3 linked regions of the Mytilus edulis genome follow. Each later gene encodes a partner of the first gene's protein in a complex. Links are inferred from orthologs where the notes say so. Each region holds a gene or a part of one and is shown in the gene's direction. Other genes may lie near its edges. The genes, in order: U4/U6.U5 tri-snRNP-associated protein 1-like, U4/U6 small nuclear ribonucleoprotein Prp3-like and U5 small nuclear ribonucleoprotein 40 kDa protein-like.

Region 1 (7,403 bases):
ATGAAGTCTCCTCTTCAAATGTTTTCCACTCAACATCAACATCTGAAAGAAATATCCTTTTTCTTAAATATATATTGTATACCCTAATACCTTGTTTATTAGTAGATACAAGGTAATTAGTTTAAACATTTTGAATACTGAATATATTAATTGCAAGAGCATATGTCCACAACATTCAATTTATCAACAGGTCAAAATTCATGTTATATAGACTTCTCAGTGAGGGTTGTATTCCATTTTTAAAGTGAATGCAGTAAAAAAAATTAAGGTCACTGTCATAAATGATTTCATTATTAATTAGCAGATGAATTGTACAACAAAAGTATATTTAATCAGCCAACCATCTTTATAATGTAAATTCAAATAAAAAAGTAAACATGCATTCCCTTCCTTATAGTTTATTTTTTCCTAACTGTACAAAGTAATAGATAACTACCTAGCCTCAGTAAAAAATCCAAGCAGCCAGTGTGTCCATTAGCAGCAGCCTCATGTATTGGTGTCCATCCTCTGTTGTCTCGTACATCTACTAGACGACCTGAAACATCATTTCATATATAAAATACCTTAAAATCACAACTTATAATAAGTATGTGAGTTATCACAAGTAGACTTTTTCTAGGTGGCTAAATTTAAAAAAAAAATTGAGTAAAATTGGGAATAAATCATTGTATATAATTTTAAATATTCTATTTTGTTCTTGAATGTCTACAAATGTATGGATTTGTTATTAAAGGCCTCAATGAAAATTACTCAATTTTTAAGTTCATATTCCTTAAATAATATATGTACTGTAACCTCAATGAAAATTACTCAATTTTTAAGTTCATATTCCTTAAATAATATATGTACTGTAACTTCTACAGTACATATATTATTTAAGGAATATGAACTTAAAAATTGAGTAATTTTCATTGAGGCCTTTAATAACAAATCCATACATTTGATCAATGAAGTTTTAGTTTGGGGTTTGCTTTTGTAAATAAATGTGATCTGGTATTTATTTGCTGCTGTAATGTAACATTTAGTTAACAAGACGTTAACAAGTCGTTTTATGGCTTTTCTTCAGGTATCTCTATTCATTTTTGAAAACAGAATCATAACCTCTAAATGTGAAGGCATTTTAAATCATGTGTATATCTTGTCAAACAATTTTTGTGGCAGCTTTTGTTAATAGACAATCATACCACAACTCTTTATTATTAAATTTTCTAGGTATGAATAATTGGAGATGTAAGATTATTTATTCAATGAGACATCTTCATACAAAACTGAAAATTCTAGGAGACAACATACCAACGGTTAATTAGTAAGTCAACAGCAACTCGGATCAGAAGAAAAATACCTTAAGATTTTTCAATAATTAGTACTTGAAGTATTGCTGTTAAAAAAAACATACCATGCCAAACTAACTGTTGTACCAGACCAAGGTCACCATTACGAGCTGCTATTCCTACTGAAGAACATGTGTCCTGATAGGTTTCATTGAAATCCATTACATACCAAATCTATCAGAATGAAAAAATGGAAGTAGATGTTCACATGTTACATGTATTTATACATTTGTATCTTCACATGTCACAATAGCTTACCGGTAGTCATTTCTGGTATTTGAGTACATTTTTTCTTAATAAACAAATTTGTGTCTTAGAAATTCTTATGTGTACAGAGCCTTTTATAGTTGATTGTGCGGTATGGCCTTTTCTCATTGTTGAAGGCCTTACAGTGATCTAAAGTTGTTAATTTCTGTAACATTTGGGCACCAGGTCTCTTGTGGAAAGTTTTCTCATTAGCAATCATACAACATCTTCTTTTATACATACTCTGTATTTCAATCAGATTGTCATAAATTAAGAAATTTTTAAAATAACAGCACATTGTTCATAAAAAACAAGATCAAAGACAATTTATTTGATAACCATAACTTTCAACAAATGATAACAAATGAAGCAATGTGTAAATGATTTGTAAATGAAAAAAAATCTAGTTTACTGTTGTACTGCATCTGTCATCAGAATAAAAATAAATTTGTCTGTAAACTGAAAATGTTGGGCACAATAAACAAAATATATACTCTGAATTCATATATTTTCGAGGGTACCTATTTTTCTAGATTAAGGAAAGCTTGCATATTTAATTTTGTGGTTTTGATGAAGTCTGCATACATGCCATACAAGCCTACATAAAATTTTATCATCCATTGAACATTTAATTTCATGGTTTGCCTGTACTCACAAAATCCTCGAAAATTGGTATCCCACAAATAATTATTAATCCACAGTATGTTGAAGTCTTAAAGATAAAGGTTTACACCGTATCACAATAGACAATAGACAATATTTATTAGCACTAACACATTTACATTAAATGGTTATCATGGTTATGGCATACAGTATTGAAACAATAAATTGACAATAGATAAATTGACTATAATTATATTAGAGTGACAGTGGTATATTCACAGGGTAAAAACCTATAAATATGTGTGTTTTCAGACAGTTTTAAAACACATTTTAATGTTCATGAACAAAAAACAAAAATTAGGATACCTATTATAAAAAGAAATATAAATATTACAGATGTTCTCAATAAAAAAACAATCATTAATATACTTTATGGTGATTTTTATGATGACTGGCAGACTGATATTTAAAAGTGCGGTCATATGGGTCAGTGTTAGAGATGACTGCAATTTAATAAAATTAAAATTAAGATTTTAACATAAACTTTCATATCAACTTTGCATTATCAATGCTCGATGTAAATGAGGTAATGATCATATAGACGAGTAGTATGAACACCATACACTAATAAAAGTCTTACTATTGCTTATAATATCTGAGGGGGGATAGGACCTTTATCAGGACTCCAGGATCGGGTGTTTTTAAGCTCGGGATTTCGGGATTGACCCTTTCGGGATCCAGGAATTATTTTTTCGAATTTCGGGACCTCGGCATTTCATATTTTTAAGCCCGGAATTTCGGGATTTCGTGTTTTTAAACCCAGGATTTTGGGATCAGGACCCCTCCTACCCCCCCTCATATCTGAAAAACAGATTTAATCAGATAAACTTACTGAATGAATGAGCCATAATTATTAGCTTGTTTTATTTATCTTTTCATCTGATGACTAAATTCTTTCATCATTGTCTATTACGAAGAGTTGTAATCGGGTACCTTCGTGACTTATAACAGTAAAAAAACTTGTCAAATGATGTCAACATTAATTTTTGGTGCATGACAATTAAAAAATGACAAATTTTTAAGAATCACGTTATTTTTTTCCAAAAATAACATTAATGATTATCATTTAAGACCTCTAAAGAACCATGATACAGATATTTTGACAAATCACAACGTTTGATGGCTGACGGTAATGGGTATTCCTATCCTCATTAAGTACTGTATAAAAATGAAAGTCCAGTTGTCAAATTTACCTTTTTATTTGTAACCTTCTATAGGTTTTTGAGAAGAGCATGTAGAGTCAAAAGGGATAAAGTTGAATGCTCTTTCTGATCATTGCTATTTGTTCCTCTCATATTCTTAATAAGAGAATTCATATTGCATGCATTATTTTTGTCAGACAGCAACTTTACTTTTAGTTTGTATGGATTTTCCACATCTCACAAAATGGTCTGTCTGTAGACCGGGTTATTAGCTTTACCATTCATAGAACATTAAAGTGTTCGTTTATGTTTAATATATTTTGCAATTTGTAGTTTTGAATATATATTCTTAGATATACTAACCATTTATGGAATTATGTTTTTTATTTGTTTTATAGAAGACGCTTTTGAGTTTGGCATAACCCATTATAAAACATTATTTTATACACTTTACTGTAGTTTTTTTTAACTTCCGGTAATTCAACGAACAGAAATCGTAAATAAATATCTGTTTTTACCCATTAATGCTGTAGATCTCAAGTGTATATTCCGTCATGGGGTCGTCTAAAAAACACAAAGAAAAGGACCGTGAACACAAAAGAAAACACCGTCACAGATCTCGATCGAGAGAACGAAAGCGACATAAACACAGTCGAAAAGACAACAAACCACATGAAGATGAACAAGAATACACTCACGAAGGATATGATGAAAACTATGATGACTACAATCGAGCACCACTACAAAAAGTTCTAGCAGATGTTGGTAGGTGTCAAGAAATTTGGCTTCCATCTATGTAAAATTATTTTCTGATTTCCCTTACTGCCGAGTGTCTTCTATTTTCAGTTTCCGCACTCCATCATAAATTATATACACCTTATCCCCATTTGTCTGCCATTACTGGATATCACACAGGTTCCCATAAAATTTTGACGTCATAAAACAAAATAGCTGACGCCACAATGGAAAAGTGATTGTTGTATGCGTCAAAAGTTCAAGCGGCCGGGTCAGCCGGGATTAGCGATAAGGTTTATTGATGACTATGTGCTGTGCCGATCCGAAGTCACATTTTTAGCTCACCTGGCCCGAAGGGCCAAGTGAGCTTTTCCCATCACTTGTCGTCCGTCGTCGTCGTCGTCGTCCGTCGTCGTTAACTTTTACAAAAATCTTCTCCTCTAAAACTACTGGGCCAAATTAAACCAAACTTGGTTACAATCATCATTGGGGTATCTAGTTTAAAAAATGTGTGGCGTGACCCGGCCAACCAACCAAGATGGCCGCCATGGCTAAAAATAGAACATAGGGGTAAAATGCAGTTTTTGGCTTATAACTCAAAAACCAAAGCATTTAGAGCAAATCTAACATGGGATAAAATTGTTTATCAGGTCAAGATCCATCTGCCCTCAAATTTTCAAATGAATGCGACAACCCGTTATTGGGTTGCTGCCCCTGAACTGGTAATTTTTGGGAATTTTTGCTGTTTTTGGCTATTATCTTGAATATTATTATAGATAGAGATAAACTGTAAACAGCAATAATGTTCAGCAAAATAAGATTTACAAATAAGTCAACATGACCAAAATGGTTAGTTGACCCCTTTAGGAGTTATTGACCTTTATAGTCAATTTTAAACCATTTTTCGTAAATCTTAGTAATCTTTTACAAAAATCTTCTCCTCTGAAACTACTGGGTCAAATTAATCCAAACTTGTCCATAATCATCTTTGGGATATCTAGTTTTAAAAATGGGTGGCGTGACCCGGCAAACCAACCAAGATGGCCGCCATGGCTAAAAATAGAACATAGGGGTAAAATGCAGTTTTTGGCTTATAACTCAAAAACCAAAGCATTTAGAGCAAATCTGACATGCGGTAAAAGTGTTTATCAGGTCAAGATCTATCTGTCCTGAAATTTTCAGATGAATTGGACAACCTGTTGTTGGGTTGCTGCCCCTGAATTGGTAATTTTAAGGAAATTTTGCTGTTTTTGGTTATTATCTTGAATATTATTATAGATAGAGATAAACTGTAAACAGCAATAATGTTCAGCAAAGTAAGATTTACAAATAAGTCAGCATGACCAAAATGGTCAGTTGACCCCTTTAGGAGTTATTGCCCTTTATAGTCAATTTTTAACCATTTTTTCGTAAATCTTAGTAATCTTTTACAAAAATCTTCTTCTCTGAAACTACTGGGCCAAATTAAACTAAACTTGGCCACAATCATCATAGGGGTAACATGTTTAAAAAAATGTGTGGCGTGACCCGGCCAACCAACCAAGATGGCCGCCATGACTAAAAATAGAACATAGGGGTAAAATGCAGTTTTTGGCTTATAACTCAAAAACCAAAGCATTTAGAGCAAATCTGACAATGGGTAAAATTGTTAATCAGGTCAAGATCTATCTGCCTTCAAATTTTCAGATGAATCCAACAACCCATTGTTGGGTTGCTGCCCCTAAATTGGTAATTTTAAGAAAATTTTACTGTTTTTGGTTATCTTGAATATTATTATAGATAGAGATTAACTGTAAACAGCAATAATGTTCAGCAAAGTAAGATTTACAAATAAGTGAACTTGACCGAAATGGTCAGTTGACCCCTTTAGGAGTTATTGCCTTTTATAATAAATTTTTAACCATTTTTCCGTAAATCTTAGTAATCTTTTACAAAAATTTTCTTCTCTGAAACTACTGGGCCAAATTAATCCAAACTTGGCCACAATCATCTTTGGGGTATCTAGTTTAAAAAATGTGTCCGGTGACCTGGCCATCCAACCAAGATGGCTGCCATAGCTAAAAATAAAACATAGGGGTAAAATGCAGTTTTTGGCTTATAACTCAAAAACCAAAGCATTTAGAGCAAATCTGACATTGGGTTGAATTGTTTATCAGGTCAAAATCTATCTGCCCTGAAATTTCGGATGAATCAGACAACCCGTTGTTGGGTTGCTGCCCCTAAATTGGTAATTTTAAGGAAATTTTACTGTTTTGGGTTATTATCTTGAATATTATTATAGATAGAGATAAACTTTAAACAGCAATAATGTACAGCAAAGTAAGATTTACAAATAAGTCAACATGACTGAAATGGTCAATTGACCCCCTAAGGAGTTATTGTCCTTTATAGTCAATTTAGTTCATTATAGATAGAGATAATTGTAAGCAGCAAGAATGTTCAGTAAAGTAAGATGTACAAACACATTATCATCACCAAAACACAATTTTGTCATGAATCCATCTTCTTCCTTTGTTTAATATTCACATAGACCAAGGTGAGCGACACAGGCTCTTTAGAGCCTCTAGTTCATGTTTGAATTTATGCAAATTTCTCATTCTTGCTTTATCTCTTTCAGATAAAATCCTCAAGATTAAACATTGTGTTATATATGTCTTTAGAGGTTCAAAATGAGGGGGGCAGGACGTGGGGATCAGGTGTTTTTAAGCTAGGGCTTTCGGGATTGAACGTTTCGGGATCCGGGATTTATTTTTTACAATTTTAGGGATGTCTGGATTATTTTTTTTTAAATTTCATGTTTTTAAGCCTGTGATTTTGGGATCAGGACCCCTACAACCCTCCCTCCGTAATGTAATAGTCATTAGGGTGTTACGTCATTGTTGGGCATGAGACGTTACTGACATCAAGTTTCTGGCACACATAATGCAACTTTAAAATGTTTCTGCAGCTAGAGGTGTCACGGAATAGAAGGTCCTTCATAATATAAGTTCCTAAAGGAAGAAATATTCTGGAATATTATTTCCACAGGAATAAATATTACAGTATATGTTCCTAACGGAATAAATGGTATAGAATATTTGTTCCAACTGGTACAGGTATTATGACATTGTTTATTACAGTTCCAGTGGAACTTTTGTTCTAGGTGGAACAAATATACGTTGACACAGGGTTAAGCAGTGATTTTGCTAGAGCTAATAATTTTTCATTATTTACAACCTGTTTTCCAAATGACAAAAGTATTTCACATCAATTTCGTCACTTTTTGTGTAAAATCATTTTCCATGAA
Region 2 (7,403 bases), on another chromosome or scaffold:
CAATCCCTTCCTGTTGTATTTATTGCTAATTTGTTCCTGAACATTCATGAAATATTTGTCACTGGAAACCAAAAATCGATAATTCAAAATAGGTTGTTTACATACAAATTACAAAGAAACTTAGGATTCAACTCTCTCGGGCAAAGTAGCCCTTATAGATGGATTTTGTTACGTTTACCTTCACTTTGGCCAAACACCTCTTCAATTGTTTCGGTTCTTATAAATACTTGACTTTCAAATAATTAGTTGCAGCTTTCCGTAGGTGACTTAAAATTCAGCATTTTACATTGTACTGGTTTTTCGAGAGTAACATTGGTGTATGGCCAAAAATGGAAAGATCCATCATGCATCATGTCCCATTCTGACTGGACATACCTGTGTTCCTTTACTTTGCTCAAAGTTGATTGTCAGTGTCGTAGCTAGATCATTTTTACGTGTATGCCCGAACCTCGGAAAAGCGGTTCCATGCCAAAGAACCTGCTGGAAGTTGATAAGCCGGGACAAGCCTCCGGAAGTTTTAGAGTTATCGAGAATGTCATAAAATTCCTGTCATTGAAAACTCATCAATAACAACATTTTTTAGATTCAAAATAATTTATTTTCTATGTTTATTCTATTCATTGTGTTTAAAATCTATTTAGAAGATAATGGCGGTCTTTGGCTTAATTTGGAGTAAACGTCCAAACCAGTTACCTTAAAATAATTACATTAGATGTATGTTTCATTATAATACTTTATTCTGATTGGCTAACTGCATGCACATCACGTGTTATTCCGTAAGCAGTTGCAATGCTCAATACAACTTTTCATTCATGATAACACGTGGTCCAACAATAAAGTGCACAGGTGAATTAAATAAAAAAATATATAAAATTCGTGTTTTCATGATCATAGCTAAAAAATGTAATTATAAGTATTGAATGCTTCTTTTTGTAACTTTATAGGGTTGTAAAAGCGTTGACCGTGCACACATTTTTAGAATGAAGCGCGGAATAAAAAATGTACTTCGGTCAACGCTTTTACACCCCAATAAATTTACAAAAAGAAGCATTCAATTCTTAAATATGATTAAAGGGAGCCGTGGATAACCTTCATTCATTACCGAAGCAGTATGCGTGGTCTTTCATTTAGGATTATTTTACTTTATGAAAACAAGATGGATCAATCGCAGAAAAGTGTTCTCGACTTCTTTCATAAAATGTTTTCATCTGAAATTGAACATAGCAGAGCGATGGCTTCTGCATCTGATGTAGCAGCGTTACTAGGTCTTACAAGTATTTGACAGCTTGCCTCTCTGTGCAATTAGGAGATAACTGTATTGTATTTTAAGCTCCGACGGCATCAATTGGGGATTTGATGGTCGCAAATTAAGTTTACTGGCGACGCGTTAGCGGAGACAGTAAACGGGCATTTGCGACCATCAAATCCCAAATTGATGCCGTCGGAGCTTAAAATACAATATTGTTATCTCCATTCTAATGAAACTGACAGAAAACAACGTTAAAACATGTATTTAAATTCTGCCATATGCCGTCTGCGCTTGCGCGTACGTCCCATAGCATCAATTGTCAATTGAAGCCATGTAAGAAAGTGACGTTATCCAATCAAAATGAACGTTACAAACGTTGTTGCATTAGAATATGTGATTTAACGGTGGCCAGATCGTCTGACTTAAATTGCAAAAAAATCTGAAAAATAAACGAAAAAAAAATTGGTTTCTGAAATTAACCATGAAAAAAAACCACTTCAATGAAGTTTAATTGAATTCGACGAAGGTTTAACAAAGTAATTGATATGTAATTGATTTTAACGTTAGACTAAGTGCAAAAAGAAATTATTCTTTTTCTATAAAATATGGGAAAACTTATCATATATGTATAATTTCGATATTATGCTCTGGATACTCGTTTGTGCATACACAGTTTTTGTCCAGCTACCGTAAAATTTCACAAATGTTTGACAAAGTTATTGATATATCTTAAAACTAAAAGAACATAATGAACCTGCATGAGTGTACATAGTTATCATTTTGGTACCGCCGACGAAATTTACGATCAAAATAGCTCGCTTTCGCGACATAAATGTCAATGGCTCGACAAGAAATGAAAACCACATATCGAATCCAAGCTCATAATGAATTGCTTAAAAAAATAAAGGAGATAAGTATAGAATTAACGGTAGATTTAGAATTTGACAGAAATAATATGATACTAATTTTCGTCACTTTTATTCGCATTTGCAAGCCATTGGAGAGAGACATAAAAGGTTAATGTACTGTTAACCAATTCTTTTATTTCTATTTATATGATTTTTTTTTAACAAATTCAAGAGTACGCCCGGACGTTTTGAGACCTTTTGACGTAAACGTAGCTACGCACATGTCCTGGACCAGGACACCTGGTATCTATCAATGATGAGGTTATGTTGATATATACCTTATAACAGTATCTTGGCTCCAAGCTACTAATATTTGTTCTTAGTCTCAATTTGAGCGTAAGAAAACGCTTCTATTTCGTTTCACAGTTTATAAGTACCCCTCTTTTCGCCCCTTTTCTATTTTGATATCTTAATCAAAAATATAAAAATCAAACTTTCAACTGAAAGTGAGATAATCAAAATTGCACGTTAGGTTTAGTATTTTGAAAGTTTGACCAAATTACTAAACTATCAAATTTTTAAACGATATTTAGAATTTTAATATTTTAATTATTTGGTTAAAATTTCAAAATTTCAAAACTTTTACACAATTGGGATTTTTGATATTTTTTAAAAACATTGATCAAAATTCCAAAAATCTAAGATTTCAAAACTTTTTAAAACTTTGAATTGATAAGTGTTACACACCGCCGCCCCCCCCCCCCCCCCCCCCTTTACATTTAATAAAAAATAATGAATTTACTTTATTCATAAAGTTTACTTTTCTCTTTAATTTTCTAACATCATTATCCTTATTAATTTGCGCAAATCCCGGAACTTGCTTTTCCGTGTTGTTTTATTTATTATATAGTTTGTTGTTGTGTAAGTAATTTCAATTGGTCGAAACATCCCTGTCAACCAATCAGCGTGTCCGTTTCAAGAAGGATCGGCTAGCATTTCGATAATAACACGATCTTTTTTTCCAAAATACTGTTAAAAAATATAAAATACTGTAAGTAAACATGTCAGTGCATCATATAATTCAGGTTGAAATAATGAAGTCTATATAAATAAATAACTATCCAAATGCTGATATTTGTAAAACGAAAACCACAGTAACAAGTTTTCCTTGGAATAATTTCTGTATATTTGATATTTTACATTTTTTTTGTATGGCCATCAATTATTTTTATATTTGACATCATTATGAAAAATAACTCTTATTCAAAATACAATAAGAATTTGAGTTAATACTTTAGTAATAATTGTACCTTTCATGTGTAAACGGAAAACATGTTTCTCCTTACAATGAATATAAAATCATCTTGGTCTCCCTAGGACTCAAGCTCATAATATTTAGAGCTTATGTTTGTACTGTTTGTCAATATGCCGAATCCAAATAAAGTTTTACTTACTTACTTTAATACTTACTTACTATTCAGGGACCTCTGTGATACAAGACAATGTATTTACTGACTGAACTCAACATGCTCAAGAAGAACTTCTCTATATTCATTTTATGTAACTTTCCTGGCAGGGTTATTCTTTTTTAACCATGATTTTATTGTTGGGCAACAATGTAATTGTAGAGCATGATTCTTTTTCTAATATGAGGCAGGCATAACCTGTGAATGGGGACGAAGTCTGTAGACTGTATGTATTATTTTTTAATTCAATCACGTTGATAAAAGAAACCGAAATACCGTACGTAACGTTCCCGATTTTGATTCTGTTGTTAGGGAATTAGCTGTGACGTTCTATAAGTTATGACGTCATATTCGATGTACACAAAAGAAACGCTTTCATCAGGTAACGTTTTTTCATATCAAACAATTATTAAAATTGAATTGGTATTGAGATCCAATCTTATATTTTACTAGACTGATAAATATAATTTTTTTCAAAGTCTCATGCAAACAAGACAGATATCTGCGCAAAAGCGGAGAAAACCGGAACAGGAAGTAGATCTGAAAAAAAAGTTAACGATTTTGAGTTCATTAGTAGAATGAAAAATTCAGGAAATTTTCTTGATTTTTTTTTTTTTTTTATTGATTTTTCTACCGTAATTTGGGACTTCGTCCCCATATAATTATCGTTGATGTTTGTCTCCTCTGGTACTTGAACCCAGGAGCCTTGAGTGAGCATGTATATCCACTGAGCTATTGAAGTACTTCACTAGCTCAGTCGCTTATGCTGTTTTCACAATAAACATTTGAATCCACAAGCCCAAAACTCATTTTTACCAAATTTTTAGTTGGATTCTGTTGGCTTGTAGAAAAGAACTTCACAAGCTCAACAACAATTTTACAAGCCATGGCTGTAGGACATGTGGTTTAATGTGAAGACTGCAAGTTATGGCTGGTTATGTATCTATCACATATACCAATGACTAATCAGTGATATTGTTTGCCTTAAATTACTGGAGAATAAAGGCTTTTTCCCCTGGAGAAGAATTCCAATTTGAAAAAAAAATGGCTAAAAATTATTCCCAAAAAGACAAATTTTTCACAGAATTTGTAGAGTTATTTTTCATAATAATGTCAGTAGTAATTGTGCATGAATACAAACTGAAATACACCCATTTATCATGTTTATACGTTTTTTATGCCTAAAATGACAATATATTCATATTTGAGGGTCTATTTATGTGTCATCACTGATAATAAGGGGTCTTATTTCAAATGAGGGTTTACCTCTTGAAAGGGGATCTACAACTTGAAGTTCCAGTCAAATTTATGGTTTATTATAAATTTCCCAATTTGATAAAAATGATGCATATTTCCCAATAAAAAAAAGGTAGAGATAGTTTTGAAAAAAGCCAACAATATCACTTAGGGATGGTGTACATCAAATATGGAGTTCCAATTTTGATTTTATGAATAAACTGCCCCAGTTGACCTGGTGTCATTCTAGAGAGATGAGGATAGGATTTGTCAGGGTTCTTGCTAAGAATTTTTGAAGGCGAGTGCAGGGACTTGTCATTTTTGGACATGGTGAGTTCCATTGTAAGAAGAAGATATATTATTGCAATATAATTTATTATTTTAGTCTCTATGACCTTATAGGGTAATGAAAAAACATTAAATTCAGACTACTTTTAAACTTTGGGTATAAAATGAGGATACATTTGTTCAGTTTATACACAATATTTCTTTATTCATCTTTTTTTGGACTCACCAATTTTAAAAATGGTGTGTCCAGACAGATTTTTATGAGTCCACGACTCATGGACTCGCCTAAGTGAAAATTCTTATTTGTGAATTGAAGTTATTTAAATTTTGACATCTGTGAAAAAGCACAAGTCGTTAGATTATAAACAGTATATTTTTAGGTAAAGATAGCATGAAATGCAATCAAAACCTTATAGGACTGACTTGATACATGTATCTAAATGTTCAAAGGCTTGTCACTACTTTTTTTTATACAAAAAAATCAAGTGCATTGATCAACATGATCAAAAACATTCTATACATCCTATCCGTCAACATTTCAAGAACTTTATGATTATATACATGTATGCTCAGATATTCAAGGCACAAAATATTGATACACTAGTCAAGAAAATTATATACATGTAACATTTGCAAAGTGCATGAATTGTGAATCTAATATCTGTTATAAAAAAAGAATGATGTCATTGTTAACATCATTTTTTTTTAAATTGGTGTTCTCTTTCCTTTGTCTAGAATTGCTTTTAAATCAACTACAACAATGTAATAATTAATTTTACTTCCCACTGATAAATTGAAGTAATCTTTACCATTCAGTGCTTTCAAGCACTTTGATTATATTAGGCAGGTGTTAAGGTTAATTTGGTACACATCAAATTTACACCTATAGAACAAATATAGCAAAAGTCAAATTGACACTTGGTCAACAATGTCAAACCAGCACTTACACGATTTGAAAAATAACCTAGTCAAGGATTGGAATTTATATAAAAATGCAGATTTCATCAATCATTAGAGTATAATGAGGTGGGGGTGGGGGTGATGGGATTGTAATTTGAGTCCCTTGGTGTGATAGATAAATGTACTATATATTATTTAAAGTCATTTTGGCATTTGGTTATTCAATTCAACACCAAATATTATTTTTACCCCTTTCTTTGAGGTATACGGGTAGAATAGTTTTTTGTATGTTTTTTACTGTCAAGAGCTCTGACATAAATAAGTCATAGTGGAATTGTCATTTTGTTATTTTGGAAATAGAAAATATCTTTATCACGTAGAGAATCATGGGATGATAAACAAGTGATAGTGTTGGGGACCACTTTCTAGTTTGTCCTTCACCAAAATAAAATCGTCAATTATGCGCGCCTAATTGACATCATTTACAAGATAGAGGCTGATAGCCTGTATCCCTGCACTATTAACGCTCACCAAGCGTCTTAGTTATCATCATTGTGCAGGATAACCTATAAATAATGTTTGTCCCTAAGGTACTTCATCACAATACCCTTATGAAAGCAGTGATAATGCCCCTAATTGCATGAATGATGTTAATTAAAACCAAACTATTTGACGGAAATGCAACGAGCTTGAAAGATGTCTATTGTCTTTTTGCTATTTTGCAGAAAGAAAATGTTGTTATCACGAAGAGAATGGGATGGTAAGCAAGTCACAGTGTAATTGTCTCTCATAATTACATTTGCCTTGGTTTTTGTTAACTGCCTACAGCGCTTACAGTGCTTTGATTGTTATTTTGCAGAGAGAAAATGTCTTTATCCCGTAGAGAATGGGATGATATGAAATCCCAGTTGGAGGGGACTGTCAACAAATTTCTGGGATTTTCAGAGCCAAGTCTTGTTACTGCAGCATTGAATTGTATAGACAAAGGATATGAAAGAGACAAAGCTATTCGTAAGTAATTTTTAAACAAAAGGGAGGTAATAAAAGAATAAAGGGACATAACTAAAGGTAATCAAAGAATAAAGGGAGATATCTGAAGGTTTTAAGAGCAAAGTCTTGTTACTGCAGCATTGAATTGTATAGACAAAGGATATATGAAAGAGACAAAACTATTTGTAAGTAATATTAAAACACAAAAGGGAGGTAATCAAAGAATAAATGGGAATAACTAAAGGTAATCAAAGAATTCAGAAAGATAACTAAAGGTTTTAAGAGCAAAGACTTGTTACCGCAACATTGAATTGTATAGACAAAGGATATGAAAAAAGAAACAAAGCTATTCATGAATTTCATGTATTTGTCAGAGTTTTCATTAGGGTGTCGTCATTTTTGTCCATGGTCAGCCCAACAGGGAAA
Region 3 (7,403 bases), on another chromosome or scaffold:
ATACATCATACAACGCACGGCATACTATATAAACCCATAACATTTCTGCTGAAAGAGGCAACATAAAAAGGTAGAAACAGTAGGCATTGGAAAGGTGACATTTCGCTGAATAAATAATGATATAAGGGGGGGGGGGTCAATAGTTGTCCCGTTAACATGTTAACAACACCTCGATTTTGGAAAAAAAACAGTTAACATAAAATGCAAAAATGCAAAAAAAAAGGTATTGATTGAAAATTGGCATGTAGAAATTAAGGTGGTACATGCACAACTCAGGATATATCTGGTTTATATGAAGTTAGAATTGAAGTAAAATGTTGAGAAAGCTGTGAAAATTGCAAAATTTGATTGAACAACTTCAAGTATTTTGAATTGGTAATTGATACTAATTAATATATGCTACTGAGATGGTTAAAGGACGTCTTTTTAAAATAGAATCAAAGTAAATGCAAGAAAACGATTAAAAAATCCATTAGGAAAGGCACTTCATTGATATTACCTGAATTCTAATCAAACAAATGAAATACTTAATCTTCAGAGGCGACTCTAGGGGGCTCTGAGTCTCCTCCCTTCGTGGGGAAACTATAGTGTCGCCCCTTTTTTGTCAGTGAGTGCCCCACCCCACCCCCTTTATAAAAAGTTCTGGAGCTGCAACTGATCGTTACACTGGTATACTTTTAAGAAGGTGGACTAGTGTTTTAGAGCTTTTCTTTCTCTCATATATGTTTCACACGTGGTTTTTTTTTCTACTTTAAATTTTGTATTGCCTTCTTTGCATTTTTCAATCAGTTCGATAAGACGGGCGGAGATATAGATATTTATATCTATAAAATCATAGAATGCTTATTATGCTTATATTTATTTCTTTTGCTTGCTTATTGTGCCACAAGATAAATAAATGTTGATACTTATAAATTCAAGAAGAAAAAAACAATTATAAAAAAAAAATCTGTAAAAACATCTATAATTTCGGAGAACCTTTAAACGTCCTTTTAAAGAATATCTTGTGGTATACCGTTGTTCGCCCATCCATTTGTCCTTCTGTTGGCTGACGTCAACACACCAGACAATAACGCAAAGTTAAAGTTTCCGAGTTATAAATCGTAAAAAAAATCTTTTTTCCAGTTTTTGTGCCTCATTTATGGGCATTATCTGTTCTGGACTGTCCATTCGTTCGTTTGTCCGTCCGCCTGTCTGTACCGCTTCAGGTTGAAATTTTCCGTCAAGGTACTTTTTGTCCTATCAACTTGAAACTTAATAGTACACATGCTCCTTATGATATGATCTTGCTAATGCCAAATCAGAGTTTTGGCCCTAATTTCACGGTCCACTGAACATAGAAAATAATAGTGCGATTTTGGCATCCATGTACTATGGACACATTCTTGTTTTACTATAAGTCAAAAATGCTTTGAGCAATTTTCACGAAACTTAGAGAATCGTTTATACTTTAGTATATACATATACATATAATTGACACAATTTTCTCGTTCGATTTTAAAAACGAATCTGAATTAACGTTTTGGAGTATTTGAACTTTATTCATAAAAAAGGGGGAACTTTCCAGCTACCGGACAATAACTGAAAACAGTTTCCATAAAACTTTGGAGATTTATTGGTCTGATTTGACATAGCTGATTTATGAAACCTTGTTCGAAGAGCTAAAATAGTGACAGGTGCATCATGCGCAGATGGCGCAGCTCATTATGATAGACAGTTCTTGTTTCAGCTGTATATTATGATATGCTTTGTTATCTATTCTTATTCATATTATCTGCAGATGATGTCATAGTTTGGGTGATTTGTTAGATTTTGTTTCAGCGGTACTTAAAATGGCCCGAGAACACAGATATTCCGTAGTGCACTTCTTTTAGACAATAAATTCAAATTAAAAAAATCGAACCTGCTCTATCTCAATAAGATTGTTACAGTGTAGTGTTTTACTAAGTAGACAAATGATAACAAAGTTATAGAAAGTTCTACCAACTCTTACTCAAAATATTGACAATTCTGTGTTTAGGGGTTTAAAATTCAGTTTGATATATATAGCTTTAGACGTACTAATTTTTGACCTTTTTTTTACTGGATCAAATCACTACTTATCATAAAGATTTAGCACCCATTTTTTAACAGGCAATTTCATCCCCGTACTTAATATTTAATGCATAAATTATCAAGAAATAAAATGTTAAAATGTATCCTAAAAAATGGAAGTTGTATATCTACACTTTTCGAACTATATTTATCCTTTTCTTCTTTTTTTTAATATAATTTGGTCGAGTGTGCAGGTTTGTCTGTCTTAAGTGTCTGTATCATGTGAAATCAGAAAACATCTAAATAAGGTCGAGTTTATAAAAAGTGGACGAGTTTGACATATGTTGGTCGAGTAGGCCTAGGGCGATTTAATAATGGGACGAGTTGTTCATAATTGCGGCAGAGAAATCCCGGAAACCTATTCCGGCTGTGAATAAACTTTTAGTGTGGTCTGTACAACTTCCTTCTGTTCGGCGTGATTTTGTTGAAAACAAAAATACTCTTACATTTTCCCACTCCGTTGTTTAAATAACAATGGACATCAAACGAAAAGCAGGAGACAGTGCCATGGTCCCTTTTAAAAAGCCAAGAACAGATCTGGTAGCCTATGGGTCTCAAGAAAAATCAGTATTGCAGATGGTAATTGCCTATAAATTTTATTGCATTATCTACAGTGAACGAAGAAAAGGATCTGGGAGTAACTTTCGAGTCTAATTTGAAATTTGAAAAACATATAAGTGATATTTATAACAAAGCCCAAAGAGTGCTGTCTCTTATCAATCATTCTTTTGATTACATGGATCAAGATATGTTTCTTACTATTTATAAATCAATAGTTCGTCCACTGCTAGAATATGCGACATGCGTCTGGTCACCGTATCTTAAAAAAGACATTCGCAAATTGGAATCTGTACAAAGAAGGGCCACAAAGCTGTTAAAAAATAATTGTCATCTTAATTATGAAGACAGGTTACGTTCATTGGGTTTGCCAACTTTGGAATATCGTAGGGATAGGAATGATATGATACAAGTCTACAAAGCGTTGCATGGTATAGATGACATCGACTGGATGAGCCTATTTACTTTAGCACCATCTAATAATACTAGAGGTCACTCATTAAAACTTTTTAAAAAAACAGTGTAAGACCACACATAGACTAAATACTTTTTCAATTAGAGTAGTGGATCAGTGGAATAACCTGTCAGATTTAACGGTGACGGCAAAGACTCTGAATAGTTTTAAGTCTGCATTAAATGGCGTAAATTGGAACCTATATAAATTCATATGTTCGTGTTAAGTGTTTCAGCTGCGCACACCTAAATAAGTATTTTTTGATAAGTTTAATATATTATATATAAATCAATTACAAACGAAAGTGAACCAACGCCTGGTGAGTCTGTAGTACGGTAGAGTCCATAAAGTGGATACCCGAGGGTATGCAGGGTCGTTATGATAAAAACATAAAATGTAGAGAGTCTTATTATATATAAATATATTATAATGAGATGAGAAATCATATACGACAATCCAAGATGAGGGGTCAGTAGAAGCCTTTGGCTTATGTAACGACCCGAAGATAAAGGTATAAAGGTATAATTTCTGTCGTCCAATAAACCGGCTTTTTAAAAAAGTTTTATATTTAAGTTCTAACCCTTCTAAAGGGTTACCCTAGCTATTGACCCATGCATAGTATATTCTAGTCCCAGATTACTCTGAGCATGCTGAGGTCCTCAATCTTAAGGCCTATTAATATTTTAATTGTTATACATGTATGTATAACCGACTTTAAATAAATCTTTATTAAAAATGTAGCACAAAAAATTTGTCGCAAGGTGCAGATTTTCTCCTTTGCGCCAGACAAGCTAGGGCAAATCTGCTGTATGGTGTCCAAATTATTTAGCCTTACTGGACGCAATTACGACTGGACACGATTTTTAATGTTTGGCCCCTGATATTAATATTTATGCATGATAATTGATAAATGATTCTATTAATAAAAAATCCACTACATTACTTGTGTTTTCATGAAAAAAAAGTTCATGTGCAATTGGTTAATGTTGCAGACGATGAAAAATTCAATTTCTTAAATGTCAAAATAATTACTCCCTCTCTTAGAAATTGCATGAATAAAGCACACTAGCTAGTGCAAATTGCCTTCTTTTGTCTTAATATAGATAGAAAAATATCTCCTGAATCTGTTCATATGCGTGATGTTCTTAATCTTGTCCAAATAATCCAAAAATGAACGTTTTCTCAGACTCTCATGACCCTGGGGCCAGGGCATTGTCAGAAGAAAATAGTATTTTTAATAAAAAGTCCGGAGAACTCTGAAAGTAATGGTTAAATATAAATTAAAATCATAGGTTCACTAACTAAAAGGAGAATTCAGTGCATCTTAGACGAAACAACTTTCATAAAAACAAAAAAATCCAAAATACATTGTATTTCCTTTTTAAAGATTTTTTTTTGTCACTAATTTTGTCTGCAACTACTGCTGAAGAATTTGAAGTAAAATACCATATTACACTTCTTATTTTCTTAGGAAATGTGTTTAAGATAAGATTAATGTAGGTTTCATTAATTTAGATCGGTTGCCAGATCTATATATAAATATAGTGCCCTTCATAATTGCGTCCATATTGGGCTTGCTAGACCCATAAAACCAGGTCATGCAAATCTTACTAAAGTATCCAAACGTAAATAGAAAATTATGTGTGTTATGACTCAAAATGAAAGCCTTCATACATCTTTAATTCTATGGTACAAACAATTCACGAAAAGTATGCTACAAAGAAAAAAAAAATTTAAATTCAAAAATCGTTCGTAACTGTGTCCGGTGAGGCTAGGGACTAGGTATAAGATTATGTGAAACCATAAGGTTTAATTTTACTTTTATTAATTTATTTTTTTTGTTGTTTTTTTTTTACTTCTTGATGTACTCATACATGTACATCCTACATTTTGTATTTAATTCAAGAAGATGTAGCTTTCATTTTTAAATTGTACATCATGTACATGTAACAAAATAATAACTTGATACTTTCATGAATAGTTTAAATTTACATGGGATAAATCATCATAATTAACAAAAGATGAAGTCAAGAGCAAAAGTCATACTACCCAGCTTCATTAAGATTTGACTAGGCACTGTCTTTAAAGAAAAAAAAAAGACCAGTCGCCTGACAGGTATTCCTCTTTTAAAAATATTTTAATGACCTAATGTAACTTACATGACTTATATCATGTTAAATTATTTACCTACAGCATGTACATGTTTATAAACGTATTTACACTTATGGTATTTAGCTGTATATGTCACCTCCGAATAACCTTTTGACGTCAAGCAACAATCACTTTTTAGTTGTGACTCAAAGTTTATGGGAACCTGTGTGATGTTATGTAATGGCGGAAAAATTTGCATACAAGTAACATGTATTGTATCTAAAAAAAGCTCCAACATGATGTTTACTGTTTTTTGTAGGGTCCTCCAAGACTGTCCGGACTAGAAGCTCCTATCATGCTGTTAACTGGTACAGAAGGAGAAATATATACCTGTAAATTCTCACCTGATGGACAACTAATAGCTTCTGCAGGCTTTGATAGGCTCATTGGTAAGTCAAAGTACTTGATATACATGTACATGTCACATTCCCCATTTCCATTCTCAATTTTATGTATATGTATACGTACATGTATTTATTAAACATGTTAAAGTATATTCAGTATATATATATAATATAACATCTACACACGCTTAAAAAACACGCCTCATGTCTATCTCTAGATTCACCTTCCGTGACAAGGTAACACTACGACTATTGAAGTTATATTTTTATATAGCGGATGTGGTCGAGTGGTCTAGAGGGCTGGCCATGAGGCTAAGCGATTGGTGCTGTAGTGTATCAAAGGTGTGAGTTCGAATCCCGCTGAGGGACGGACAAAAATTTGTCAGTATAAAATCTAACTCTAACACTGTTTGGTGTAATTTTCAGACTTATATATATATATATATATGCTATGAAGTAATCAGATGGGTTTTTTTTCAACAGTAGAATTGGTTCAGTTTGCATATACATGATATATGACATTTTACATTCTAAAGCCCATTTTTTTATAGTTGACAAATTCCCTTTGAATGATAATTTTGGTAAGTTCCAAGCTGTTAAGTTCTAACATCATATTGGGCCTGTTTTTTCTCATGATTTTCAAATAAAGAAGGATTAGCTAGTACATGTAGTAAGACATGTACAATACCAGAATTCAGTTTAAGTTTGGTTGTTGAATGGCTATTTTCAAACTTGCTTGTCTCCATTTTGTTAAGAAAATCACAGACAGGGATAAGTATATGTGTCTAAAAAGTACTTATATTTTCAGATCTATTAAAACATATTGAATGAGATATTTACACTATATTTTCAGGTTTTTGGACTGTGTATGGTGAATGTGAAAATTTTGCAGTTTTAAAAGGTCATAATGGAGCAGTAATGCAAATAGAGTTTTCTACAGATGGAAAGTGAGTATATGGTGTAAGATCCAGGATTTTTGTTCATCTACTGTATCTCTAGCGGCATTGAGATTGTGAGTTCACACCCTGCACATGGGAGAGGTGTTTGACTCTAATCTTAAGGTGGTACCTAACACTACAGGGAGATAACTCTGTAAAGTCAGCTTAATGTTTTAATTACGTTGTGTTGTAAAGGGAATATTAAGCTTCTCAATGATCAAAATTTTCTGACAAAACGGTTGGTTCAAATTTTTTTTAATTTTAAAATTTTTGTTAAAGTGTCAAAGTAAATACTTTTACAAAATTTTATGAAAATTAAACGAGCCAAATAAATTTTAGTGAAAGTGTTGGGTACCACCTTAATTGTCAGCTGAAGGTTGTTAGTAATATTGATAAAGTCTAGCTTGCTCCACCAATAAAAACTGATTTTAACAATATAAACAATAGTGCACAAAGTCAATCAATGGGGTGGAGATACATCATTTCAGGAAGATGAAAAGAGTATTATAGAACATGATCTAGCTTAGATTCAACTCAAAATTAACTCTTTGAACATGTTGAAGAACCAAGATTATTTTTTTTTTTATTTAAGTTGTTGGTGATCACTCATGTACATGATGTAGTGCTTTTATCTGTGTGGTAGGTAAAGTGTCAAATTCTCAAGAAATAGATCTTGATTGGGTTAACATAGAATAATCAGTGAAAGAATTAATACTGTATAGCGGGATATTTTTGCGGGTGTAAAAGGAGTAGGTTCAGTAAGATCCCTTTTTGGTCCCAAAATATAGCAGTTTTAGAAAATTGTGACAATGTTATCTTTAAGCTATATTTTGGAAAGTAAAATGCTTCTGCTACATAAATATG

What was found.
Region 2: U4/U6.U5 tri-snRNP-associated protein 1-like (region 1) and U4/U6 small nuclear ribonucleoprotein Prp3-like share a complex: the UniProt entries of both Homo sapiens proteins name them as parts of the U4/U6-U5 tri-snRNP complex. The link is inferred for Mytilus edulis from reciprocal best matches to the Homo sapiens genes SART1 and PRPF3.
Region 3: U4/U6.U5 tri-snRNP-associated protein 1-like (region 1) and U5 small nuclear ribonucleoprotein 40 kDa protein-like share a complex: the UniProt entries of both Homo sapiens proteins name them as parts of the U4/U6-U5 tri-snRNP complex. The link is inferred for Mytilus edulis from reciprocal best matches to the Homo sapiens genes SART1 and SNRNP40.

The regions. Positions count from the first base shown.
Region 1 is NC_092346.1:24,006,158-24,013,560, reverse strand, and holds the start of U4/U6.U5 tri-snRNP-associated protein 1-like, read left to right. Parts: upstream 1-3,597; 5' UTR 3,598-3,936; coding exon 3,937-4,147; intron 4,148-7,403. Other genes in the region: ankyrin repeat and SOCS box protein 3-like, read right to left, coding at 1-42, 437-535, 1,397-1,493. UniProt on the Homo sapiens protein: Plays a role in mRNA splicing as a component of the U4/U6-U5 tri-snRNP, one of the building blocks of the spliceosome. May also bind to DNA.
Region 2 is NC_092354.1:9,893,403-9,900,805, forward strand, and holds the start of U4/U6 small nuclear ribonucleoprotein Prp3-like, read left to right. Parts: upstream 1-3,036; 5' UTR 3,037-3,148; intron 3,149-6,846; 5' UTR 6,847-6,853; coding exon 6,854-6,998; intron 6,999-7,403. UniProt on the Homo sapiens protein: Plays a role in pre-mRNA splicing as component of the U4/U6-U5 tri-snRNP complex that is involved in spliceosome assembly, and as component of the precatalytic spliceosome (spliceosome B complex).
Region 3 is NC_092355.1:11,838,110-11,845,512, reverse strand, and holds the start of U5 small nuclear ribonucleoprotein 40 kDa protein-like, read left to right. Parts: upstream 1-2,469; 5' UTR 2,470-2,568; coding exon 2,569-2,673; intron 2,674-5,516; coding exon 5,517-5,646; intron 5,647-6,454; coding exon 6,455-6,548; intron 6,549-7,403. UniProt on the Homo sapiens protein: Required for pre-mRNA splicing as component of the activated spliceosome. Component of the U5 small nuclear ribonucleoprotein (snRNP) complex and the U4/U6-U5 tri-snRNP complex, building blocks of the spliceosome.